Caenorhabditis elegans: one gene and its partners. The protein of the gene in region 1 purifies or fractionates together with the protein of each later gene. This does not show direct contact. Each region holds a gene or a part of one and is shown on either strand. Other genes may lie near its edges. The genes, in order: rme-1, cas-1, dbd-8 and vet-1.

Region 1 (7,955 bases):
TGAATTTGCTAAAGTCCTGTGTTTGAAGCTTCTCTCTCATCTTGTTCACATCTGGGAAGTCTCCTGGAGATATATTGTGTTCTCTCTGGAGTTGCTCGTAGATCTTGTCAAGATTTTGGATCAAATCCTTCTTCTTCTTATCCTTTCCGATCATCGATGGCATTTGCTTACGAAGCTCAGCAATAATGTATGCGTGAACCTTGGCGAGACGAGCTCTCTTGATCAGATCGTTCAACTTTCGGAGAGCAGCGTTACGTGGCAATGCTTGAAGATCTTGGAACAGGTCGTGCTGCTCGTCTTGGAAAAGTCGACGATTGAGATCGTAGTGAAGTGGATGATCCCAGAATGATCCCAAATAGACACGTGAAACTTCTGGAGTTTTGAATACTTTTCCCAGTGACCACATCAGAGCTCCGTAGACTCTCATCAACTGTTGATGATCAACCATGTCTGACTTGTTGAGAACAATTCGTATTTTATCCTCGTTTCCAGCCAATGCTTCAATACATCTCTTGAACTCATCGGAAATGTCAAGCTTGTGAGCATCGAAAAGAAGAATGATACGATCGACACGTTCAGCGAACCACTCTAAAACTCCAGTGAAATCATATCCGCGATCGATTCTGGAATAAAAAAGTATTTTTATTTTTGCATCGTGGAAATTCGATCCAACAAGCATTCGTTTTTGTAAACAAATAAGTTATTGGAGCTTCATCAAATGGGGACAACTCCTTGAAAGTAGTGTTCCGATTATTTAAAAATTAAAACAAACCTTTGCTTTTCTCCGGATAAGATTCCAGGTGTATCAACGATCGTTACACTTTCGAGAACTTGATTTGGAAGAGTCGAGCACTGGAATCGATTCAAAAATGCGTTTCCGAATCCTGACAGAGCACGGAACTGCTTCTTTGCGTCAACAACAAGAGCATTTCCAGGAATGCTTCCTTCTTCATCACCATGCATCACAGCAATGAATCTGTCGGTGGTTGGCTCTGGACCGATTCGGATTCCTGGGAAATCGGACTCGAGGAGGTAACGGATGAAAGTCGTTTTTCCGGTCGAATATTGCCCGACGAGCAGGATCATTGGTTTGGCATCGAAATCCGGATCATCTGAAAAGAAGGAACGTTATTTTGAAAATATAAATATGCTAAATAATTTCAAATTACCGAGAGCTGGGCTGTGAAAGTCGTGAAACTTGTGGAATTCTTCAAGAGGCAGGAGTTTCTGCTTGTAAATCTTGCGGAGACCTTCGGAAACCGTCTCCAAAACTTCCTTGTTCTTCTTTTTTGACGAATCACCACCAAGCCACGAAAACATACTTCTCGTCTTCTTTTTCTTTTGTCCTTCTTCTGAAAACTGATAAAATTAAGAATAAATCATGAGATTTTGATTAAAACTAATGTTAAATTTATTTATTTAAAATTTACCAAGATGTTGAGGAGGTGAGAATTGGCGGAAAATTGAACGGAACATGTGAGATATTTCAAGAAATTAAGGAAATTTCGCGGGAGGAAAACAAAAACAAGCGAGTAACAAAATGTGTTTCGTATATGCGTCTTAAGGTTACTGTAGAAAGTAAAGTTGCAGGCCTAGACTTACTCTCATCCATTTTTCGTTTTTTGTTATAAAAAGTTATTTTTAATATTAAAAATAGTTTTTGTTTGAGAAAAATAAAATGAATCGAGATCTGACGTAAATTTTCAACAGAAATTCGATTTCCGTGGTGGTGGTGAATAAATATGTACAGCTGGAATTGAAAAACTAAAAAAAAAAACACAGTAAACGACATTACTTTAACAAAAAAAAAACGAAGATTCTCAATATTTTGGTTAGAAAACCTAATAAATTCTGAATTTTAAATTGATGTAACACTGAAAAAAAAAAGAAGTTATCTACAGAAAAATACCGAGCTTGAAGTGATACAAGTTTCGTCATCCTAAGTTCGAAAAAACTGAAAATTCTTCTAGATTTTCCGGCCAATTTATAGAATGACTAAATTCAGAATCCCCCAGTGAGACCCAAAGAAATCGAAATTGCGAAATAGGGGCTCTATTCTCGTGTTGAACTGAAACCAAGTGAGTCATCATAGCCGCCAGCCAACAATCAGGCGGTGTGAGAGAGTGGGACTTTCACGAAATGTGGTAAGAGACGCAGATACTGACAGACGACTAGTGTGTTCATTCACTGTGTGAACAGAGATGTAGGCGAATGGACACAGAGAGGGCAGAGATGACGTGGCGGCCTATTGATGATGATGCACTAACTGGGAGGAGGATCGTAAAACAAACAGGAAATATCAATAGAAAATTAGAACATTTAGAACATCAATTAGAGACCGTCAATTGGTTTTGAAATTAGATGGGTTGAGAAAATTTATGTTAATTGAGTGATTAGAATGCTAAAGATCATTAGGAACTGGTCAATGTAGTATCAGAAGCTTGAGACTGAAGTCATATTCTTTGAGGAATGTTTTATTCATCTTAAAAGGCTCATGAATTATATGAAATCGGGAACACAGTACAATCATCTGGTCACATCAATAGTTGACGTTCTATACATGACAAATTGCCGAGAGAGCGTAAAAATCAAGAATCACAGAAAAAGAGGAAAAATTAGAAATGGATCAGGTAGTCGAATCGAGAAAATAGATCGACCGACAGACTGCGCAAAAGCCAGACAAGAGAGTCTAAGGACCAAGTAGACCGCAGACGAAAAAGTCAAAATAATACGCGAACTGACCACCATCACCCACCGGCCGAACTGCAAAGATCTTATGGGGAAAAAAAGAGAACACACACAAAAAAAGCATTGTCGGAATTGCTTGCTGTGAATGGTTTTTGTTGGAAAACCAGCGCATATATCAAATGGTCGCAGTGTAAATATGAAACCACAATATTTGCTTGGAATTTCATGGAACTGATGAATAAGTAGGACAAATTGTGTTAGATTTAGTCAAATTAAATTGAAATTAGTAACTAAATATAATTAAAATATGCAATCAATAGAATGACGTATAGTAGTATTCTGCGTTCCAACTAGAAATCGACATAAAAATATTTTGTTGTAAAATCACGAGGTTGCTTGAGAAATAACATAATACAATTTCAACACAATAACAATTCAATTGCTCTAACTACAATATTTTCTGTATAATCGGTGTCCTGTTCCACTAGATAGAAAATTGAAAAGGTAAAAGTTGTGTTGAACTAATTCAACTTTTCATGTTTGGAGTGTGAATCGTAACTGAAATTCCGAAAAACTATCTAACAATAAGTCAAAAACTTTAAAGAAAATCACCCGGAAATAACAAACTTCAAATGCATTACCTATAGGTATACAGTAGTCAAAATCAAAAACTAAACCACTATCAATCAAGAGACCCAACTCAAAAATTCTTTGGAAGAAATAAAATTGAAAGCAGGCCGGAAGAGAAAAGTTTAGTTTGAGTTTATATAACGTGAATGCTCTCGCTTTCTCTTTCAACGGAGCACTGAACTCTAGCAACTGCTTGTGCACTATCGATTCCACAGGGGTCATGCATCAAGAAAAATGAGACAACCGCAAGCGGACGATGTTTGAGACGATTTGGTAGAAGGAGGAAAGAATTGAATCAAAATAAAGTAACCGATTTGTTATTTCATTGAATTGTTCGAGTAGGGGGATGGAAGAAACGAAAAGAAGAGAAAAAAGAAGAAAAGAAAAAGAAAGATGCGATGATTGCGGCATGATGATTAGCTCGTTAGACCGTGTGAATTTTTCAAAAAATGGAGAATTTATCAAAATTTCAAAATATAAATAGAACGTTGGAGCTAGAAAGCTTGAAATGTTTGAAAAAAATACACCATATAGAACCTGGAAACCATGTTTCGTTTGCCTTTTGAACGAGAATATGAGATGATTTACAAGAAAATTTTCAAGAAATTCAAGCTTTCAAGCGTTTGATTAATATCTCGTGAAATTGAGGTGAAATTGAAAATCATATAATGTCAAATACAAAAAATATAAACTTGAAGGTAGAGCTAAAAATAATTTTTGATTTTCTCGTTCTTTTATCAGAAACTTCTGGATTTGAAAGCCATAACTAGATTATCAAAATATAACGCGATTGAAAAGTCTGCCGTTTCACAACCTAAAAACCTTACCTTGATCATCAATTTTATAACTTTTCCAAAAAACTCGGACGCTATCCATTTAGGTGTTAGAGTTTCTAAAAATGATCATTTTCTGTTCATACTTACCAAAAAGATTACTCATTTCGAAATGCCCGAAAAAATAGAACAGATACCGATCAGTTGGTCACGTCAAAATTCTTGTAATACTTATAAAAGTTTTGTTCTCGCGCTATGACGGGCGGTCTTGTCTCTTTTGCCTCTCAACGGAGCAAACATAAAACAGTTTGCACACAATTATTTACAAGTTAGCAGAGCACATGGTGTTCCAGTACTGGGAGGATGTGAAAGAAAAGTTGTATAGCGAGAGTATGAAAATGCGTTGATTGGCACTGACCAAATGTTTATCAGTGTGACCTGTCAACGAATGATGCTCACAATGATAAAGAATAATGCAAAGTGCAGCTCTTTAAGCAAAAAGGTTTGAAGTTCCATTTGTCAGGAATTTTTTCAATCAATGGAAAATCGAACTGTGTGGGAAGAATAGCAAGTGTCTGCAGGATAGAAACTCCAAATAGAAAAGGAATGGCATTGGGAAATGCTTTTGAAAAGCGTTCTTTCGTTTTCCAGAATGAAAACAAAGAAAAGTGATGCAATGGTTTTTTGATATGCACTGTCATCTTCAGATTCAGAAAAAAACCTCTGCCTATATAATCTGTCAAAGTCAAATAGTGGGGTGCAATACTAATAGGGAAAGGTTGTTTTAAACTTTCGAACTGCGATCGCAGATCGACATTGGGATTTGGCAGGAAAAATACTAAATTTGATAGCCACATTACTCCAACTAGTTGTTTAAAAAAGTGCAGAAAAGTAGACGCATAAAACATTATATGAACAAAAATCTACAAATCTACCTCTAACCGGCTCCATATACTTTGCAAGTTTAGGTGATGCTTTTGGGGTCATCATAGATGCCCTTGCAATCGAAAGCCGCCTGATTGGCCTGTCAGCAGCAACTGGAACTTGCTGCTGAGCTCTCATTTTTGGAACCGGAGTTTCTTCTTCTTTGAGGCCTGAGATCTTAACTTCTTCGATCACTTCCTTCTTTACTTCAGTAATTTCTACGGAAGTATTGACGACTTCAATTTCTTCTTCAACTGTTTCAGGAACTTTCTCAAGTTCAGAGATTTCTTCTTCTTGGTGGATTTCTTTTTTAGAAGTTTCCGGAGTTTCCGATTCTACTGGAACTTGTGCCGGTTCTTTATGTTCTTCAACAACTCTCCCTAGATCTTCGTCTTTTTCGACTTCACTTCTTTCTGATAAATCTTCAGTCTCTGCGTTCAGCTCCTCAAAACTGGAACTTGATACCGATCCGGAAATCTGAAAATCGTTACAATTTATTTAAAGTGGTGAAAAAAAAATCCTAAAAGTGCACAGTACAAATTTCTTGCTACTGCTTCATTTTGGTGGAAGCCGACCTTTTGCAAAAACGCAAAATTAAAACCAAATGTGACAGGGTTGGAGAGAAAATGTAAACATTATGAAAATTTGTGTATACCAAAAATAAATTAATCAAAAGTAAAACGAAATACCCACCTCATTTTTTGAATTGACACCTTCCAATGACGCTACATTCTGCTCATCAAAGACCGAATCGATTTTCTTCATTTGCCCTTCTATTCTGTCGGTTTGTGTTGCCTCCTGCTCTTCTTTCGTGGAGCTATTAATGACAATGACGGGTGGCGCGGGTGCCTCGTTTATTTTGTGTTCTTCACTATTCACAGACTCCATCGATACTTTTGTTGTAAGAGGAATAGGAAATGATCCAGTAAAAAGTCGATGAAATGTTCCAAGTTTCGAGGCAAAAAACTGTCAAGAAGAGAAGCGAGGCGGAGACAAGTTTCGCACACTTTTTTTGTTATCAATTTTTATTTCGCGACAATTCACTTTGCAAAGAAAAAAAAGCATAAGGAGAACAATGATAACAGGAGGAAACATTCCAGAACATGATGAAATACAAATAGAATTAAAAATAGGAAATGACTCACCAATTTCACCTCCGAATGGGTTTGTTGAAGAGAATCTCTCAGAAGTTTTTTCAAAGGGATTGGTGCTTTTCTTACGGAATATAACCAGAGTTTTATCGATATCTTCGTCTGTTACTGTTGGTCGACAAAGTTGACATCCCATAGGTTTTGAGTGGAGTCAAAAATTAATAGATCATTTAAAGGTAAGCGGGAGAATATTCAATTTGAAAAGAGCTGATTTTCTGATGAAATAGGATGTAACAAGTGTGAGAAGAGAGATTCAATAGAGATTATGATTCACATTGAATGAAAAATGTTAATTTAGATGACCAAAGATTAGAATGTAAAGCTGAAAAACAACATTTTTAAAAGTTGATTATAAAACGATGTGTAAATTTTTTGTTGTGCTTAAGCAATACACATAAAAAGTTGTGCAACGTGGCCTAATAAAAAATCACAAAAAATGATATGAATTAATTAAATCAGGTGAATTCAGGAATTTTTTGTGCCAAGGTTGAATGTTCGAGGTGAATTTTATCACCCAAAGAATTATATCCAAAAGTGGTACACTTGAAAACTTTAATGAGCTCTACGAGTAATTATATATGTAGTTCAAAAATATTCGTTTCAAATGCACAGAAATGGGCACATTTGTGAGCGAACATTGAATTGAGTGGATGCGCAAACATACGATGTTTTCTTTCTTTCTGATAAACCAAGAAGAATCAATCCAAAACTTAATCATTATAAAATTAATACAAAAACAATTAACCAAAATATTGTTAAAAATAAATAAAATATTGCTACAAACTATAAGAAATCCAACAATTTTGATATCCCCGTCGACAAAACGGTCAATGTTTGAACATAAATGTGGCTGCCTTCCGAAAAGCGGCACACAAACGAACAAAACAAAAATCGATGCGGATTCCCATATTTCGTATACATTTTTCCCAATATTATGGACAAAATCATAGTTGCGTAGGTGTTAAAATTCAGAAAAAACTCTATTATCAAAACTCTTTCAATTATTTTCAAACAAAATTAGAGCTTCAAAAATTTTGCACAGCTACGTCATTTCTCACCTTCATAATCTGGATAGAACGTAATTTCATTTCGATTAGCTCGTGGAACAGTACGGAAAAAATTATACATTTTATACAATAATGACAGTCGTGAATGGAAACTTTTGAAGGTTTTAACTTCGTTTTTTCAGTAGATGATAGTGTCAATTGTACGCTGTTTATGTAAATCCTATTGACGTAATATTGGATTTTTTCAATGCATTGATCAATTGTGTTTCATTCAATATTCCCGTAGAATGGCTCTATGATTCAATCAAATAATTTCGAGTTTACGGTTTTTTTGACAGTTTCTTCTAAAAGAATTCCAGATTATTTCCCCACCTTACACAAGAAAATAAATCCTAACCTGAAACTTCGACAGATTTATGAAAAATGATGGATGTATGAAACAAGTAAATCAACAATAATTTATTTACATTTATGTATCTCGCTACAAATTTATTTTGAAAAAAACAGATTAAAAACATGCATAATTTATGCTTTCACTCCTTCGAATGTGATCACATTTGGAATTGCGACACCTCGAGATGCTTGAATTTTCAAAAGTTCGGCGAATTCTTCAACTGCTTTTCCAAATCTTTTCACAGTATCTTCATCACTGAAGTCACTGAGTCCGTAAGTGACATCATTGTTTGCTTCTTTCAGCGAGTTCCGTCCCATTTGTTCAATTTGAGTGTTGCTCGCAAGAAGTGAGAGGACAAATTCACTTTGATCAATTGCATCGAAGACAG
Region 2 (7,789 bases), on another chromosome or scaffold:
TTCTGATTCTGTAGAGTTGAAACATTCGCCATAACCAAAATCTTCATAATATTCTCTTTCTGTCACAAATTTAGTCGTCTCTTGTAAGTACGCTAACGGGTCTCCATAAACCTGGGACATGTACTCGGATGGGTCCCGAAGGTGTTGGTAGTTTTTCAGGTTTTGCATCCATGACATTCTATAACTTGATAGCGATAAAAAAAATAGCATTAGCAAACTGATACTCTAAGAAAAATGAAGGAGGGGTAGTCGCTGACGACAATGATCTTGCTCATGTCTTCACATGGTTCCATTACATTATAAATGTATAGAATAGTAGATTGTTTCATACTTGTAGAATGAGAAGAAAGCTGATGGTTTTGAGGCAAGATAAGATCCATGAAAGTGTGTTGAAATGTGCCTGGTGTTTGAGATGTTCTGGTGAGGGTGGAAATGTATTTGAACATTCTGGAATTTTTTTTACACTACATTCGGTGCAATTGTTCTACGATCACAAACCTTCAAACATGAATAACTATTTTTTGGAAGGGATCACTTTTATTCGACGAGACAGTAAAAAGTAATTTTTTCAATAAAAATAGTTGAGCACCAGTCAATGCATATACAAAACAAAATCGGTATTATTTAATAAAGCAAAGTGTGTCTCAATTGCTTATAAAGAATTGTAGACAGGGACAAATAAAAAAGTTCGAGGGGATAGTTCATGAAGTTGAAAAATAAGGTTATGACGTGAGAAGATTTAGCAAATGTCCGAGACGACAGTGACTAGCTTGCCATTGACAAAAGTTGTCTTGAACTGCTCCGGAACCGGGAACTCCGACTGAAAAGGAAATTTAGATTGGGTTCTACAATCCGAAAAACTTACATAATCCCCATCATCATTGGTTTGCACGGAGATGTTCATCTCACTGGATTTGGAAGTGACAATCTCGCATCCTTGAGCCACCTTTGACAAGTACACCTGGCATCCATCAGTCTTCTGGATTGAAAGAGTTGGGAGCTCTCCAAGGGTCTAAAAATTAATAACAATAATAGATTCAGTGAATTTCGAAGCATATAGTTGACTGAACTTTATTAGTAATTTGGAAGATTTTAACGATTAAAACCAAATATTTATTTTCACATTTTTTATTTAGAAACTAATTTTATGTTCAGACGGAAAAAAAATAGTATTGTATTTGAGCTTGTATTGAAGCTTGTACAACTAAAAGTCTTCTGATTACCTGAATTTGCACAGATTGGCAGTTGACAGTTTCGCACTGAGCCACAAGGGCATCAAACACAACAGACGTTTTCTTGCACCCGTCCAAAGTAATAGAATTGGCCTTTCCGTTGACCTTAATCACAGAATTCTCACAACGGTAGATATAGACAGTCTGCTTCTTATCGGCAACATCGAGAACAATGTTTGGATCGTTGACAAAGTACTCCTGTAAATAGTTTTTCATTGATAATGCTTATTGAATATGTTTTTCAAGTTGTTGAAACACTTACCACAATCCATTGTTTTCCGTTTTCCAGCTCCTTGTGTGGTGGCTTCCTTACTGGAGCAGCTGGTTTGGCAGGAGATGAGCCGCCCTGAGAAGCACCAGCGGCTGGCACAACAGCGGTTCCTCGGAGGTTTGGGTTCTTGTGAGTCTGCATATCGGCCGTGACCTTCTTCAGTCTAGAAGTAACTCCCTCTCCCTGGTTCAACGAAGCAAAGAGAGCATCACGGCTTGCCTTGTCAGCATCTACTGGTGGCGGAGCAATGTTGGCGAAGAAGTCGGCTGGTGGTGGTGGAGGTGGTGGGGGTGGTCCTCCTGGACCTGCTGGAGCTTTTGGAGCTGATGGAGCAGCGGCAGATGGAGCAGAGGCAGAAGCATCAGGGGCGGCTCCTGGAGCGCTGTTCCAGACTAGACCAGTAGTGTGAACTTGACGAACAAACTTCTGCATCTCTTCAAATACAGCCTTCCAAGCCTTGGTCCACTCAACGTGTCTTGGATCGGTCTCCTTGAACTCGCGGAGAATTGGGTTGATGTAGAATTGAGCAGCCTCAATGAACTCCTTCACGTATGGAGCTGGGGTTTTCTTCTGAAATTAGAAGCAGTTTAGAAAATATGTATGTTAAGATTATCGAATCTTGAGCACAGTAATATTTTATTTCAACTTTTGAATGTTAACATACCACGGTCACCCATCCAAGAGCCGGAAGTGCTTCAGCCACCGAATTGAGATGGTTCCAGTGAGGGGTCTTTCTCTTCGTGTCCTTGAAATTGTTGATTTCACCAAGCAAGTTAATAACTGGAGTGAGCATCTTCTGAGCTTCCTCGGCCGATGGCTCCGATTTTCCAGCAGCAGACCATAAATAGTTGCGCATACTGGCAAACATAGCCAACACTTTTGGCTTCTGAAATATTTGTTTTACGATGTTAAACTCTTATTCTATGTTGGGTAATTTGGATAAAGATAAGGAATTATAATAGATTAGTGCAATTTTTTATTTATTTTTGTTTTAATCAATACAAAACATCATTTGAACACTCACCACAGCAGCAAGATCGCCGCCGAGTTGATCTGTCAACTTGCTCCAATTGGCCAGTGGCTCCTCGATGGCATCATCGTAAGCACGAACATGAGCTGGGACTTCTCCAGAGTCACCGGCAGAAGCGGCAGCAGACGCTGAAAACATTAACTTTATTTTAATTAATTCAAAAGTATCGAACCGGTTTGCTTATTTCTAGAATTTTTAGTTTTGAATTTACAATTTACTAAGTTTTACCTTTATTCTGATCTATAAATACAACTTTCTTTGAAGAACTCCGATGAAGTGACGGATTTTTGATAAGAATCCCGTGCAAATTGTCGCCGTATAAGTTTCTGTGTCGTCCCGTTTTTTCATTGTCTCGTAGATACCTCGGAAGCGCACGACGTGCCATTTCCTCAATATCCAGATCACTGTCGTTATCGTTGTCGTAGTTCGAATTTGGTGAAAAAGTTGAAGTCGGTGAAAACGTTGGGTTTGAGTAGTGAGATGTTGGTTTCACCGAATGTACATTATTATTCCCGTTGCTATGCCCGTGACCATGTCCGAAATGAGGTTTGTTGTATGGCATCGGGTCGGATGGCATGTGAACATTGATATTCGGCTCAATGATAGCCACTGGTGGTTGAGACGAGTCACGTCGATTTCTCGAATCGAAATCATCGGTGTGACTATTATACGTGTGACGGTTACTCGTGAAGCCATTAATTACAGTTGGACCCGATCGATTAAACACTTTTGACTCAACTGGACTGAAAATTCGCTCTGGATTCTGATTTTGATTCTGCGCCTGTGGCGGATGATATGGTTGAGGGGCAACCTCACGAATTGGGGAAGTGAGTCTGGCGAAATCACGAAGTGGTGATTGAATCCTAGCACGTTGAGATTGTTGAATGGGCTGATGTGGCTGGGGATAATGGGGCTCTTCGGGCATTTGATGATGATGATATTGGTCTTGTACCTGCTGATGAGGATGAATCCGGAGTACACGATCATTTGTCAATTTTATTGGTTCATTAGGGAACGCTGCCGAATTACGATTCGACTCCAAATACTGACTGGTTGGCCGCTCTTTCTCTCGGAAATTTACCGCTGCTGCGGCTGGAACATTCTGGTAGACATTTGTTGTTGCTTCTTTCGGCGCTTGTGCCACTCGCCGGTCTTGATACCCGCCTGTTGATACTCTTGATGAATGATCTTCTTGGTTATAGTTGACTTGATTTATCGGGTTTGGGAACGAAAAAGGATTCGATTGTTGGGCATATGAGATGATTGGAGGCGATCTTACAGGGCTCGGATCTCGTTGTTGCATGAAATTGGACGAAGAGCGTTGATACCGAGGATTAGGCTGTTCCTGAGTCGGTTCATCGTTGTGATAGCTCCGAAAGTTGGGTTGCTCAGACACCAAGGAATTACCTCTAGGCTCACGATAAGTAGGCTCTAACCGAAAGCGTTCAAAATCCGAGTTCAAATTTGAATTGAGAGGTGCATTTCTGATAATGTAATCCTCCCGGAACGATTTTGGCGGTGGTGGGTCAGTCATCCAGTTTGGCTCAATCACTCGGTTTCGGAAAAATCCATCCAATCGATGACCTTGATTACCATTCGTGCTTGCCGTGTAGTTATTAATAGAATTATGAAGTTGACCAGAGCTATTATTATGACTATCAACAGTAGAATGATTGAGGAAGGTGTTACTTGGAGTATGATTTGAGGTGTTATTGAAATAAGTGTTGTTGAGAGAGTCAAACGACAAATCCGATTGGGTTTTTGCTAATCGTCTTGGCGGATGGTGATCCGATGAATTAGAATTATAGTGTTGTGGAGACGGAAGAGTGCCAAAATCTGTCTGACGAGACGACTGATCCCCTGCATACCAGCTCGAAGACATATTGTGTGCTTCGGCTTTCTGACGTTGCAGATTTCTCAAAAAATCTGTTTCTCGTTGGGAAGGCGACGGATGCGTCGGCTGCTTGTATGATTGGGGTGGTGGCACATTGTCATAACCTCGGGGTGGAGCATCTTGAAATGCTGGAACTGGACTTTGGACACTTCGATGACCGTACATACTTGCTGGTTGAGGATTGTTACAGTACTCACTGGCCACTGACAAAGGAGATAGCTCACGTGGAGAGAAGTTATTGTCGAATAGAGTAGAATTGCTTTCCGATCGTATTGGCCGACGAGATCTTGGAGGTTCTTCAGCTGTCCAATAATTAGTATTGCGGTCGACAGGGGATGTTGGAGAAACGGGCGAAACGCATGAGGATGGAAAATGTGGAAGGGTCGCTGACCGCTGGTCAATGACAACTTGTTGAGGGAACGACGACCAACTGCTTGACGGACGTAGTCCGCCTCCGAAACTTCTCAAATCTTGGGTACTATCGGTTACCGGTCTGTAGCCACGTGGATACTTGTTGAAGGGTCTGGGAGCCGAGTAATAAAGTGAATCCATAGTGGAAGTGGGGGGAGACGAGGAGAAATAAAATTGCAATGCAAAAAAAAAATGAAGAGAGTATGCTAGAACATTAAGGTGTTTGGGGATGAATGTGCGGATGAGAAATGGGTAAAAGAAGAAATATTGTTAAGATTCGAGGGCACAAGAAGAATGACGGCTGGTGGGTGAGTTGCCGGTGAGGGGAAAGCCTAGAAACAGGACGAGGACGCAGAGGTTAGACGGGTGAGGAAACACGGACGAGTAAAGGCTGAAGCACAAAAGCAACTGTTGAACGGGGCTCCCGGGTCCGCGTCGACTGAAGTGAAAAGATGGAAAGAGCATGCGAGCTGTTGAGAGACAAGTCCCCACCGGGATGAACAGAAAAATGACTTCCCTCTCACTCTCGCACACACTCGTTTGCTGTAAAACACTTTGCGAAGAGATGCGGATTGACGGTTCTTCTTCTGGCGCCAGAGGGAGGATAAGAATTGATAACTTGTGCACTGCAAGTCAAGCTGGCGTCCACAACACGAACTGGTCCAAGCAAGTACCATCGGACACGGGGGTTCAACCACATTAAATATGTGTGCTTCATTATCATTAGAACATCCGGTTATGTGAAGTGACGGCCTAGAAGTCAGCTATAGGAACACTTTCTAATGAGGTATAGACTTATTTTTAATAGAAGGTAGACAAGCATTGCCTGACAAAGTTGGCAGAAACAACATACTTTATAAAACTAAAGCTTATGATTTTAAAATTACCAAGCCAGTTTTTATTTGAAAAAAATGTCAAAAGCTTAGCAAAAAACAGACAGATATGTTTTGAAACCTCTACTGTGGAATTGCACGCTGCGGTTCTCAACTTCTCATCTTACTTTTTTCAAAACAAAAATATTGACAACCCGATTTTTCAGGTACACAAAATCTAGAAAGCTCCGAGGGACCAATGATCAGGTATTTTGACTAGCGGAAACAAATCTGTGAAGAGTGCGAACTATAGGGAGCTATTCTAATCTGTATAAAGATTACTATTATACATAAAAACTTGTAGATTACAAGGTTGTAGATTACTTTTTAGCAAATCCTAGAATTTTCGAAATTGAAATGCATTTCAGGGTCTATTCAGAAAATTCAAAGTGTACTAATTTCAGAATGATAGATTACTGCTGAGCACTGAGAATTTTTCAGTACACTATTATTATTATTGTGAAAAAAATCTTATTACTAATATTATTTCATTAATTGGTAGGCCGCAACGAGACAGACAAACAGGAAGCGGTAGCCAAACTGACGGTAGCTGTAAATGTCAACGGTCACAAAACTCACATATGATGCGAATAGGAATGTTCCTGACTCTACCCGCCGTAGAATATGCACCAGCAGCAGAAACAAATTCGTTTGTGACTTCCTGATAGGTCACGTGTAACTTCATGATAATACCAAAAGCGGGGGGTATAGATGTGGGAAGAAAGGCAGAATGAACACACACAAACACACACACCAACGTTTCCCATTTGTCGATGTTAGTCATAAGTTTTTGAGTAAACAGTTCGGTTTTTGATTATTTTATTCTTATTATTATAACACACTTTCTTCTCAGAGAAAGGTTGTCTGGTATTTGATCAATTAACTCACCACTTGGTCCGCCCAAATTGGTAGGCTTCGGAGCCAATGCTGGTTTCTGCCCGGCAATCGCTTCCAAACGGCTAGTCACGCTCTCGAGACGCTTCAAAAAATCCTCTTGTGTTGACATGTCCTGGAAATTGACATTATGAAATTTAAGAACAATTGTAATCAAAAATATGTAGAAAACCTTATCATTCGATGAGAAACAGAGCAAGTTCATAGTAAGAAAGAGCAGGTGAGAGAGACAGAATCGATAGGAACCGGCAAAAGTACGAGTTACTTATAATTCCTTCGAATACAGAGGTATCCGATTTCCGATGCATTTTAAATTCGCAAATTTGCCATTTCCGAGAGCAAGCGGAATGAGAGTAAAGGAGAATTTGTTCCATTTTTTGTTTGAAATTAATGAATTGGTAGTTTTTCTTTTCTTTTGGTTCAAAAAGCGAAAAATAACCGCGAACAAAGAAAAAAAATAAATGGCGGCCCGATTTCGCAATAATTTCAAAACATCGAACAGAGAAAAGGCGATTGTCAGCAGAAAACAAGAGGAAAATGAATGGAAATCATAAAGAAATTGAGAAAAAAGTGATGAGTCACCGGGATGTGTTGCGCGGACCGCCTTGCACAGTAAATGACAACTGCCGCCATCTTCCGTTCTCATTAGAGCGCGCTTGCTGTACACCTCCCGCCGATCCGTTCCGTTGCGCAGTGTAAACAAAGATGGGATGCGAATTGGTAGAAAATGTGATGGATTTTGGGAGAGATTTTCTAGAAAACTGTAAAAAAATTCTGGTCTTTTGGAAACTTTTGGAATTGGAAACATTTAATTTAAAAGTTTGGGAAAATTAAATGATATTTTAAATTTCAATGTTCAAATTGGACGGGCTCTCATGAAACTTTCGAAAAACTAAATGACGTATACGAATGTTTACTTATTTATCCAAAATACAATTTTTGTATAATGTCTACAAATTTTAACATTATCTCATGATTGTTATAGTGGTACTTTTTAAAATCAGATTGAAAATTCACCAATCATGATAGCATTAATTTCAAAAAAATTGGCAACACGTCTTGCTCATTTTTATTATTAACTGGATTTAAAATAAAATGAAAACACGTGATAAAAAAGGAGCACGCTTTGAAAAATACAAATTTGTCCAAATTCGCTGGTAAATGTGAAAAAATGCAATGTTCGAA
Region 3 (4,654 bases), on another chromosome or scaffold:
ACATTTCTCCAGAAACGTAGTAGAAACGTTATGCAAATATACATCCTTTTTCTTCACTGCTTCTCACCACAGGGATCCTCGGTTTCCGATCGAATAAACAGACGACACAGAGTGCTATGTGCATTGAGACGCGTGACAAGGCGGTGAATGACCCATTTAGCTTTCAGTTCGTTCACTGGTTTGTGAAACTGTTCATTTAATTCTTTCTTCCGAATCGCCTTACCCGTGGCCAATCAAAGCAGCGTGTCGAAATCTCGAAATCCAATCTTATAATAATTGGCCTTATCGTTTTTAGTTTCGCCTTCTTATACGCTAATAATTTCTCCAAGGCAGGTTTTTGTGTGTTGCCTTCACGCTTTCCCCGCCGACTATCCCGATTCACGGAGAGATCTCTAATTTCTGGAATTATGCAACAATAACATATGCGATGAATTGGCGGCAACGACGACGACGACGACGAAAAAAGAAGAAGCAGAAACGAAAAGGCAAAGAAGGAGGCGTGTTTCAATCCAAAAAGACACACACACACACACGGCTAAATGACATATAACATTGCGCAAAAAGCCGAGTCATACCATAGTTTTCTTCCCGATCCCCTCTTGCCATTTATTGCAGGAACATCTAGTTACCTACATTTTTCCTTCATTTTTTAGTAGAAATTACAAAGTTAGCATCTTTAGATATCTATAATTTCTCAATTTCTTTCTCATCTCATCTTACCAGGAAAGATTGTTAGAAACACTAGAGAATGTCTGGATTTGGAGCTTCTATCATGTCTAACGATACATTCGAAGTACCGAAAATCAGAATTTTCCTGAAATGTTTTGAAATGAAAAATCTCAATTTTGGCAGGCCTCAACAAAACTATTTCGAAAAACCAACAAGCTACAGTAACCCTGACAGCTAAGACCTCCAATTTAACTTCACCAAGATTCACCTTCTTAATAAATCCTCTAGATTCCAAGATATTCCGTGTTTGTGTATACACATCTTCAAGTATATCGTTATATTCCATACATACCACACAAAAATGATCAATCAGGGAGGCATCAGAATCAATCTGGATGACTCGGAACGAGTTTCTGGCTATTCTCTCTCTCGCTCGGTCATCTCCTATTCTCCTTTTTTTGGCGATTGATTCTATTTTGTCTTCGATTCCCTTGATTCCCTTCGGCGGGGGCTTCTCGTAGTCCTCAACAGGTTATCAATGCCATTCGAATATATCCTATTACAATCTCTTTTCCCCCCTTTCCGGATTCGGTAATTTTTTGAACTTCCGTTTGACGTGCAGAATGTGATAAGAAAATATACATATGTAATTTTGTAGATACTAGAACAGTATTGTAATTTCTAGTTGTGCTGTTACTACTAAATAGCACTTCCATGTAGAATGTTCTTTCTTATTCAAAAGTAACTGACTAATTCCCAAATAAATCCTTCCTGCCGTTCTCCAATATGTCGCAATACTAGCCTTCGATCATCCGTCTAAATCTCCTCTCGGATAATTAAAAAGTGTTTCGTCACCGTTTCGCCTTGTAGCTGTCCGTAGCTGGTGGTCAGTCGGGCGCGCACCTCAAGAAGAGAAGAAGCAAGAAAAAGAAGGGAGAGAGAGAGAGAATAAGCTTGCCCATAAGAAGCCGGTTATTCGACGCGATCGGCGTCATCGCGAACGAGGCGAGGCATCTCTATGTATGTGAGGAGGGGAGAGGCTAGTCGCCGACCTCAAGATGGTGAAGCAAACATAGACGACCGCTTCATCTTTATCCAATCCACAATGTTCGCTGTTTGTTCAACATTCCGCAGCCGCTTCTTCTCCGGACCCGCGCGCTCCGTTCCCAAAGCCATTTATCCGGGAATCGAGTAGATGTGTCGGGAGAGACACCGCAATGTAGATTTCCTCCGTTTCAATCGCCTTCAAATAACTTTCACCTCCTTCTGAATTCTTTTCACTTTATTTTCCCTTCGACCCTTTTGACCGAATCAACTTTTTGAAACGTTTCAGACCGATGGCAATGTCGGTTTCGACGATACGTGCCATTTGTATTTTGCTGCTTCTATCAACGTATACATTGGCAGATCTTCCGTCATGTGCTCGTGCCAAATGTGTTCATTGTGCAGTTGACTTCATCGATAGAATGTGTCCAACAGCTTGTGCTGGATGCAAGACACAGCAGCACCAATCTATTCAGGTAGGGATTTTGGGTTACATTTTGCTTGAATTCGAATTCTGACATTTCAGGAAGTAAATGTACAGAGACCACCTCAGCCACCACCAGCGTTCAATAATCAGCCACAGTTCGCACAATCAGTGAATACTCGCCAGATCTCAAACGAGGGAGGGCCACAGGTTCAGAGACCACAGGTGGGATTTTGAATTGAAAAAAAAATTTATTAAAAAGTATTTAGGTTCAGCACCAGCAACAATTCCAGCAACAGGTTCAGGCTCAACATCAACAACAACAGCCACAATTCAACATCCCACTGCAGCCACATGCTCAGCCAGTTCAATTCGCTGCTCCAAACTATCAAGGAAACCAGATCCCGTACCCACAAGCACAGGCTCCAGCTCAAATTCAAACCGCCACTCTTGCTCCACTAGTCGAGGCACCAAAGGTCGCATCTTTCGATCCAAACTTGAGCCGTCAACCAGCCGATTTGGCACAGCCACTTCCAGAATACCAAACCGGGCAAGTACAGTACCCACAACAAGCCGCTCAAATTCCATTCGGCCAACAGCCACAGCAAGGATATGGGCAACAAGTTGATAATATTTTCAACCAACCGAATCCATTCCAACTCCCGACTCCACAACAAGGACAAGGACTATTCGGAGCTCCAGGAGCCGCTGGAGCCGCTGGAGCACAATCACAATCGCAGGCTGCAGCTTTCAATCCATTCCAACAATTCTTGCAGCCAAATGCAGCACTCGATCCATTCAACCTTTTCAACTTGAACGCTAATCCATTGACTGTTAACCAGCAAGGCATCAGCACTCTTCAGACCCAGCAGCAGCAATACGGACAGGTACAGCATCAGGGAAATTACAACAGTCAAAATTATAACCAACAACAACCGCAGCAACCACAAATCCCGCAACTTCCACAACAACAGCAGCAGTACAATCAGCAATACAATCAGCAGTTCAACCCACCATATCAGCAGTTCCAACAACCACAACAGCAGCAGTACAACCAACAGCAGCAGCAGCAGACACCACAACAAAACCAATACAATCAACAGCAACAATACGGACAGCAGCCACAGCAGCCCCAACAACCACACCAACAGCAGTACCAGAATCAGAACAACTATCTGCCACAGCCGCAGCAACCACAACTCCCAGTTGCTCCACAACAACAGGTACAGCAGCAACGTCCACAGCAGCCACTACCACAGCCAGCCGCTGCAGCTTCAGTTGACTCTAGACCAGTCAACTTTGAGAAGTATATCGATGCAGGAAAGGGAACTCCACTTGCTCCACCACCACAGGTAAAATATTTCCGCAATTGTGATCAGCTTAATATTTGTTCATTCAGGCCCAATGTCCACGCCAACCAGGATGGCAGCCATGCATCACTAAGGACACCGCCAATGATCGATTCCGCAACTGCTGTTCTCGTCTCGGAGAGGGATGTGCTCCACTTTGTAACTACGATGCTACCCTTGCTACTGTATGTCTCTATAATGATTTTTTTGCTATCTAGAACTGTTTTCCATTTCAGATGCAACTCGCTGTTCTCACTGGACGCTGTCCATTGGCTAAGGTCGGAGACGTGATGATCTGCGCTTCGGGCTACCAAGACGCATCCCAGTGTTGCGAGGCTTACGGAGTCTTCGAGCCAGGATACGAGCACTGCCGTCCATACTGTAACCCATCGGCCGGTCTTCCAGAAGGCGGACTTCTTACCGAGAAGTACAAGTGTCTCGTCAAACTGTCACACATTCAACAATGCTTCTTCGTCTCGCAGAAGCCATAAGGTGTCAACGGGTGATCCATATGTATTGCAATTTAAACCACATCAATAATAATAATTTTTCTCTCTTCTCACTCATTCCCTCATCTACAACTTTCCTGAATTCGTGCAATAGATTTCAAAAATTCAATTCTAAAATGTGGCACAGTGTGCCATCACAATAAATGATTTTAAATATTAAGAGAAAGAAGCTTACATGTGCAAAACTCCAGCATTCGTCAAAATCGATAATCCTTTACTCGTCATTGTGAACGTTCCGATTATGGCGAAATGAAGCATCGAGTTGGTGTAGGAAAGGTTGCGAGCAGCAAAGTAGGCATTCGGATTGGATCTCTGAAATATATTACACATTTTATAAATATATTTTAATAAATGTCTTCTATATTTTTGCAATCCTACGGCACGATGTCGATGGACAATTTTTAAAATTGGATATGTTTCAAGTAAAAATCGATGAATTAATTGTTGCAAAACAACAAATTAATAAAAAATAACATAAAAAATAAGAAATATTTTGTTACGTTTGAATGTTAGATACAAAAATAATCCGCAAAAATAGTCTCAAACCAGCGATTTCAGCTTTAAAAAACTGTAAAATCCCGCTTGTCCGTGTGTAGTACAAAACGCTTTGTAAATCGACATGTAAAAATCCTGATTTTGTACTACACGTGGAAAGCCGA
Region 4 (3,382 bases), on another chromosome or scaffold:
CTAGGTCTGAACTGTCTTCTAATGGTATATTTGAACTCACACTCACGTATTTTATTTTATGGAATTGATTTCAAAGACACTAATCACGGTATACAAGCAGAGCATAGGTCAACATCATTAACCATTGTTGTCATTTCTTATCTAATCAGTTTTAGTTTTTCATGCAAAAATGATATTTGCACTTTTTCGCTACATCATCGACTTTTACAGATTCTAGAGTACTCTCTCAAAAAACTCATCTCGATTTCACTCAAAAAAGAACATGGAAGATGAAACCACAATTGTTGGAAATATTGTAATAGCTTTCACTAATCTACCACCTTCAGCACGTACTTTTCAAATTCCTCTTGAATTTGATTGATTTTTCCAACAGTTTTTATCGCTAGTCGTGTGTTTTACTTTTCATGTTGTGTTTCGATGTGAAGTTCTCTGATTCTGCCTGTTATTTAAAATTGATAGTAAACTTTTCGTACACCTGTTTGGTTATAAAAATCCACGTTAAAAAGTGATTCCGATATTTAATGAAACATTTATTGAATAATTAAGAGAGTAACATTTTAAGATGGATTGAAAGAATGCCGAGGCGTTGAAAAATTAAGCCGTATTGTTTCGTATTACAACAAACGAAAAAGTGCAATGGAAATGGTAAAGTAAAAGCAATAGTATCAAATCGAAAAAATGCTAAAAAAGCGATAGTAGCTAAAAGAAGAAAAATTAACACGGAAAAAGTAATTGGGTGATATTAAATTATTGATAATTGGTTACTTCTCCGGTTTCATCAAAATCTTCTTCATTTTGGAGTGTTTCCTTGATAGCAGACAATCGTTTCTTAGCAGATGCCAGATGTTCTTTCATTTTAGGTGAAGTTGTCTGAGAAGAGACACGTTCCTCGTAGAACTTTGTGCACAATCTTTGGAACTTCAAGTTGAACTGTTCGAACTCTTTTTGAGATTCTTCATATTTCGACAAGGCTTCGGATTTCATTTTCTTGGTCTCTTCAAGTTCATGTTTCAAAGCTTTGGTTCCATTTTTCATTTCATCAAGTTCCTTAGAGGTGTCGTTGTTTTCAGATTTCAATGTAAGAATATCACTTCTCAGACACAAAATTCTGACTTCTCTTTCATTGATTTCATGTACCAATACATCTTTCTCTTGTTTCAATTGTTGAGCTTCTTTGAAATATCTCTCTCTCGAATCCTTTTCCATATTCAATTCATATCTCACTCCCATACAAATGGCCGATTGTCTTTTGATAAATTCGTTCAAATTTTTCTCAACTTCAGTCATTCTTTCCTTGTATTCTTCAAAGTTCTTTTTGATTCTCTTCAATTCCATTTCTTGTTTCATCAATGTCATTTTGTTCACATTGATCTTCTTCTCATCATAGAATTCTTCACAAGCCTCGATAAAAGCATCCTTTTCATGAAGACGTTCTTTCAATTTTTCCAATGACTTTTGATGTTCTCCATTCAAATCTTCAACCTTCTTTTCCAAATTATTGATTATTGTGTAGAGACGATTGAGTTCCGAATCATGGCACTTCGCTTCCCCTTTCAGATCAGAGATCTCAAGTCGAGAATTGGCAAGCTCTCGTCGTCTGAAATTGAACATATTAAGAATGGGTTAGTACAATATAATCTATATAACAGGTTGCACGTTGTCCTAGAGTTCAAACAACTTACGTTTTCTGATGATCAAATCGTTCGTCATCCAATTTCATTTGAAGAAGTGCGATCTCCGATTTCAACTTGGACTCGGTGGGAGTGAAGAATGGATTTTCAGCAAACATAGTTTCAGTTCTGAAAAATATTTAATTGAAAAGAAACGTTTAGTGAAACTGCAGTAGAAAATACTAGAGCAAATAAATAAATGAAAAAAGGAAAGATGCACCTTTTGAGAATGTTAGGTGAGAATGAGTAATTGGATCGAAAAAACAGTGAGAGAGAACGATGGTGAGAATTTACAGCGTCCAAATATGGATCGATATTCACAATTTTGGAAAAGCGTTGCATTGTATGGTGATCTTCTGTCGAAGAACATAATATATTGATTGGATCGAGAGAAGTCATTCAGAATGTAGTTGACTCCAAATCTATGGCTATACTAAAATGGGCATTTTGTAAACGTTGAAAGAAACTAAATTTCCAATTCCAATTAATCTAGCTCCCACTATTGTTAATTCAGTACCATCGATACAAATCTCGCAGGTTTTATCAATCTTTCATCCCACTCAAACCTTAAGAAAGAAAAAAATGTTAACATTCAAAGATGTAAAAAAATTTTATCACTTTCAAGTTTCAAAAATTAATTTTGGCTATAAATATGCTATTCCAGTTTTTAATTGAAAATCTAGCAGTCTCGAAGGCCATATAAGCTATTTAAAATCAGATATACGTGCAATACGATCAGGAAAAATCCGGTACATGAAAAACCAAAGTAATACTTTTTTACACTATTTTATTTACACTAGAAATGTCAGTATTCTGAAATAGAGGGCTCTATTCTCTTTTCGTCTTCGGTTGAAGATTTTTTAAAGGAATTAATACAAATACACAATTACTTACTAGGACTGCAACTGGGATATCTCAGAAAATTAAAACAATCAAAATAAGAACAAAAAAATAAACGTACCGAATGGGACCTGGATAAAATGAGAAGAATGAATTGAGAACAACATGAATGAGAGTGAATGTTAGGTAGTTCATTACAGCGTCTGGATTTGGATCGATATCCAGAAAGGCTCTATGAGATCGTCTGCTTATTGTCTCCCTCTCCCTGAAACGGCAGATTGAGAAGGTACCAAAATATAAGGTCACAAAAACTGGTACCCTAGATTTATAGAACCATGAAATAGCTAATGGAAGTTAAGTTTATATGTATGGGGCTCTTCAAACTAGGATTTAAAAAGAGACAAAGGAAAGACTGAATTGAAGTATTAAAAACGTAATATATTTATTTGGCGGTCGCAGCGTCCGAACATGAATTGATATCCAGATTAAATCCGTTTTATTGTCAACTGTGGCACCTCTTTATCCTTAAAGTGAAAATTAAAATCCATAAAATGTACTCTAGACTGACGATGACACTCGGCTGAAATTTAATTATTTTAAATCGTTCACTTAAGTAGCTTCATTGATCTATTGAAACCAAAAATACAAACGAAATCCCACCAATATTTGTTGTAATTCCTAAATACAGAAGTTATTCAGACATTTGCCAATATTACCAACACTTCCATTTGATTTACCCTAGTTTTCAACACACAAATACTTGCATGTTGTTCTTAAATTTTTTTTTCTTTCTTAAGAAATAAAAAGAATATGATTTCAAAATGTGGCATGCAAATCTGACTATCAGACAATTGATAATGAGTCAAATCTTT

Evidence for each region.
Region 2: the proteins of rme-1 (region 1) and cas-1 purify together in Caenorhabditis elegans (affinity purification with western blotting, with the first as the bait; one study listed by BioGRID). This does not show direct contact.
Region 3: the proteins of rme-1 (region 1) and dbd-8 purify together in Caenorhabditis elegans (affinity purification with western blotting, with the first as the bait; one study listed by BioGRID). This does not show direct contact.
Region 4: the proteins of rme-1 (region 1) and vet-1 purify together in Caenorhabditis elegans (affinity purification with western blotting, with the first as the bait; one study listed by BioGRID). This does not show direct contact.

Annotation. Positions count from the first base shown.
Region 1 is NC_003283.11:6,208,224-6,216,178, reverse strand, and holds the start of rme-1 (Dynamin-type G domain-containing protein), read right to left. Parts: upstream 6,012-7,955; 5' UTR 5,904-6,011; coding exon 5,709-5,903; intron 5,493-5,708; coding exon 5,027-5,492; intron 4,258-5,026; coding exon of another isoform or gene 4,242-4,257; intron 2,464-4,241; exon of another isoform or gene 2,248-2,463; intron 1,362-2,247; exon of another isoform or gene 1,353-1,361; coding exon 1,170-1,352; intron 1,113-1,169; coding exon 773-1,112; intron 624-772; coding exon 1-623. Other genes in the region: W06H8.2 (NADH:flavin oxidoreductase/NADH oxidase N-terminal domain-containing protein), read right to left, coding at 7,699-7,955.
Region 2 is NC_003284.9:16,806,938-16,814,726, forward strand, and holds cas-1 (C-CAP/cofactor C-like domain-containing protein), read right to left. Parts: upstream 5,772-7,789; 5' UTR 4,980-5,771; coding exon 2,762-4,979; intron 2,662-2,761; coding exon 2,528-2,661; intron 2,390-2,527; coding exon 2,168-2,389; intron 2,074-2,167; coding exon 1,495-2,073; intron 1,431-1,494; coding exon 1,224-1,430; intron 1,013-1,223; coding exon 866-1,012; intron 821-865; coding exon 740-820; 3' UTR 518-739; downstream 1-517. Other genes in the region: Degenerin mec-4, read right to left, coding at 1-177.
Region 3 is NC_003280.10:13,106,017-13,110,670, forward strand, and holds dbd-8 (DB domain-containing protein), read left to right. Parts: upstream 1-2,002; 5' UTR 2,003-2,006; coding exon 2,007-2,189; intron 2,190-2,239; coding exon 2,240-2,362; intron 2,363-2,406; coding exon 2,407-3,489; intron 3,490-3,536; coding exon 3,537-3,671; intron 3,672-3,722; coding exon 3,723-3,977; 3' UTR 3,978-4,153; downstream 4,154-4,654. Other genes in the region: rict-1 (RICTOR_N domain-containing protein), read right to left, coding at 4,171-4,307.
Region 4 is NC_003279.8:6,200,278-6,203,659, forward strand, and holds vet-1 (Very Early Transcript), read right to left. Parts: upstream 1,800-3,382; 5' UTR 1,790-1,799; coding exon 1,683-1,789; intron 1,598-1,682; coding exon 748-1,597; 3' UTR 521-747; downstream 1-520.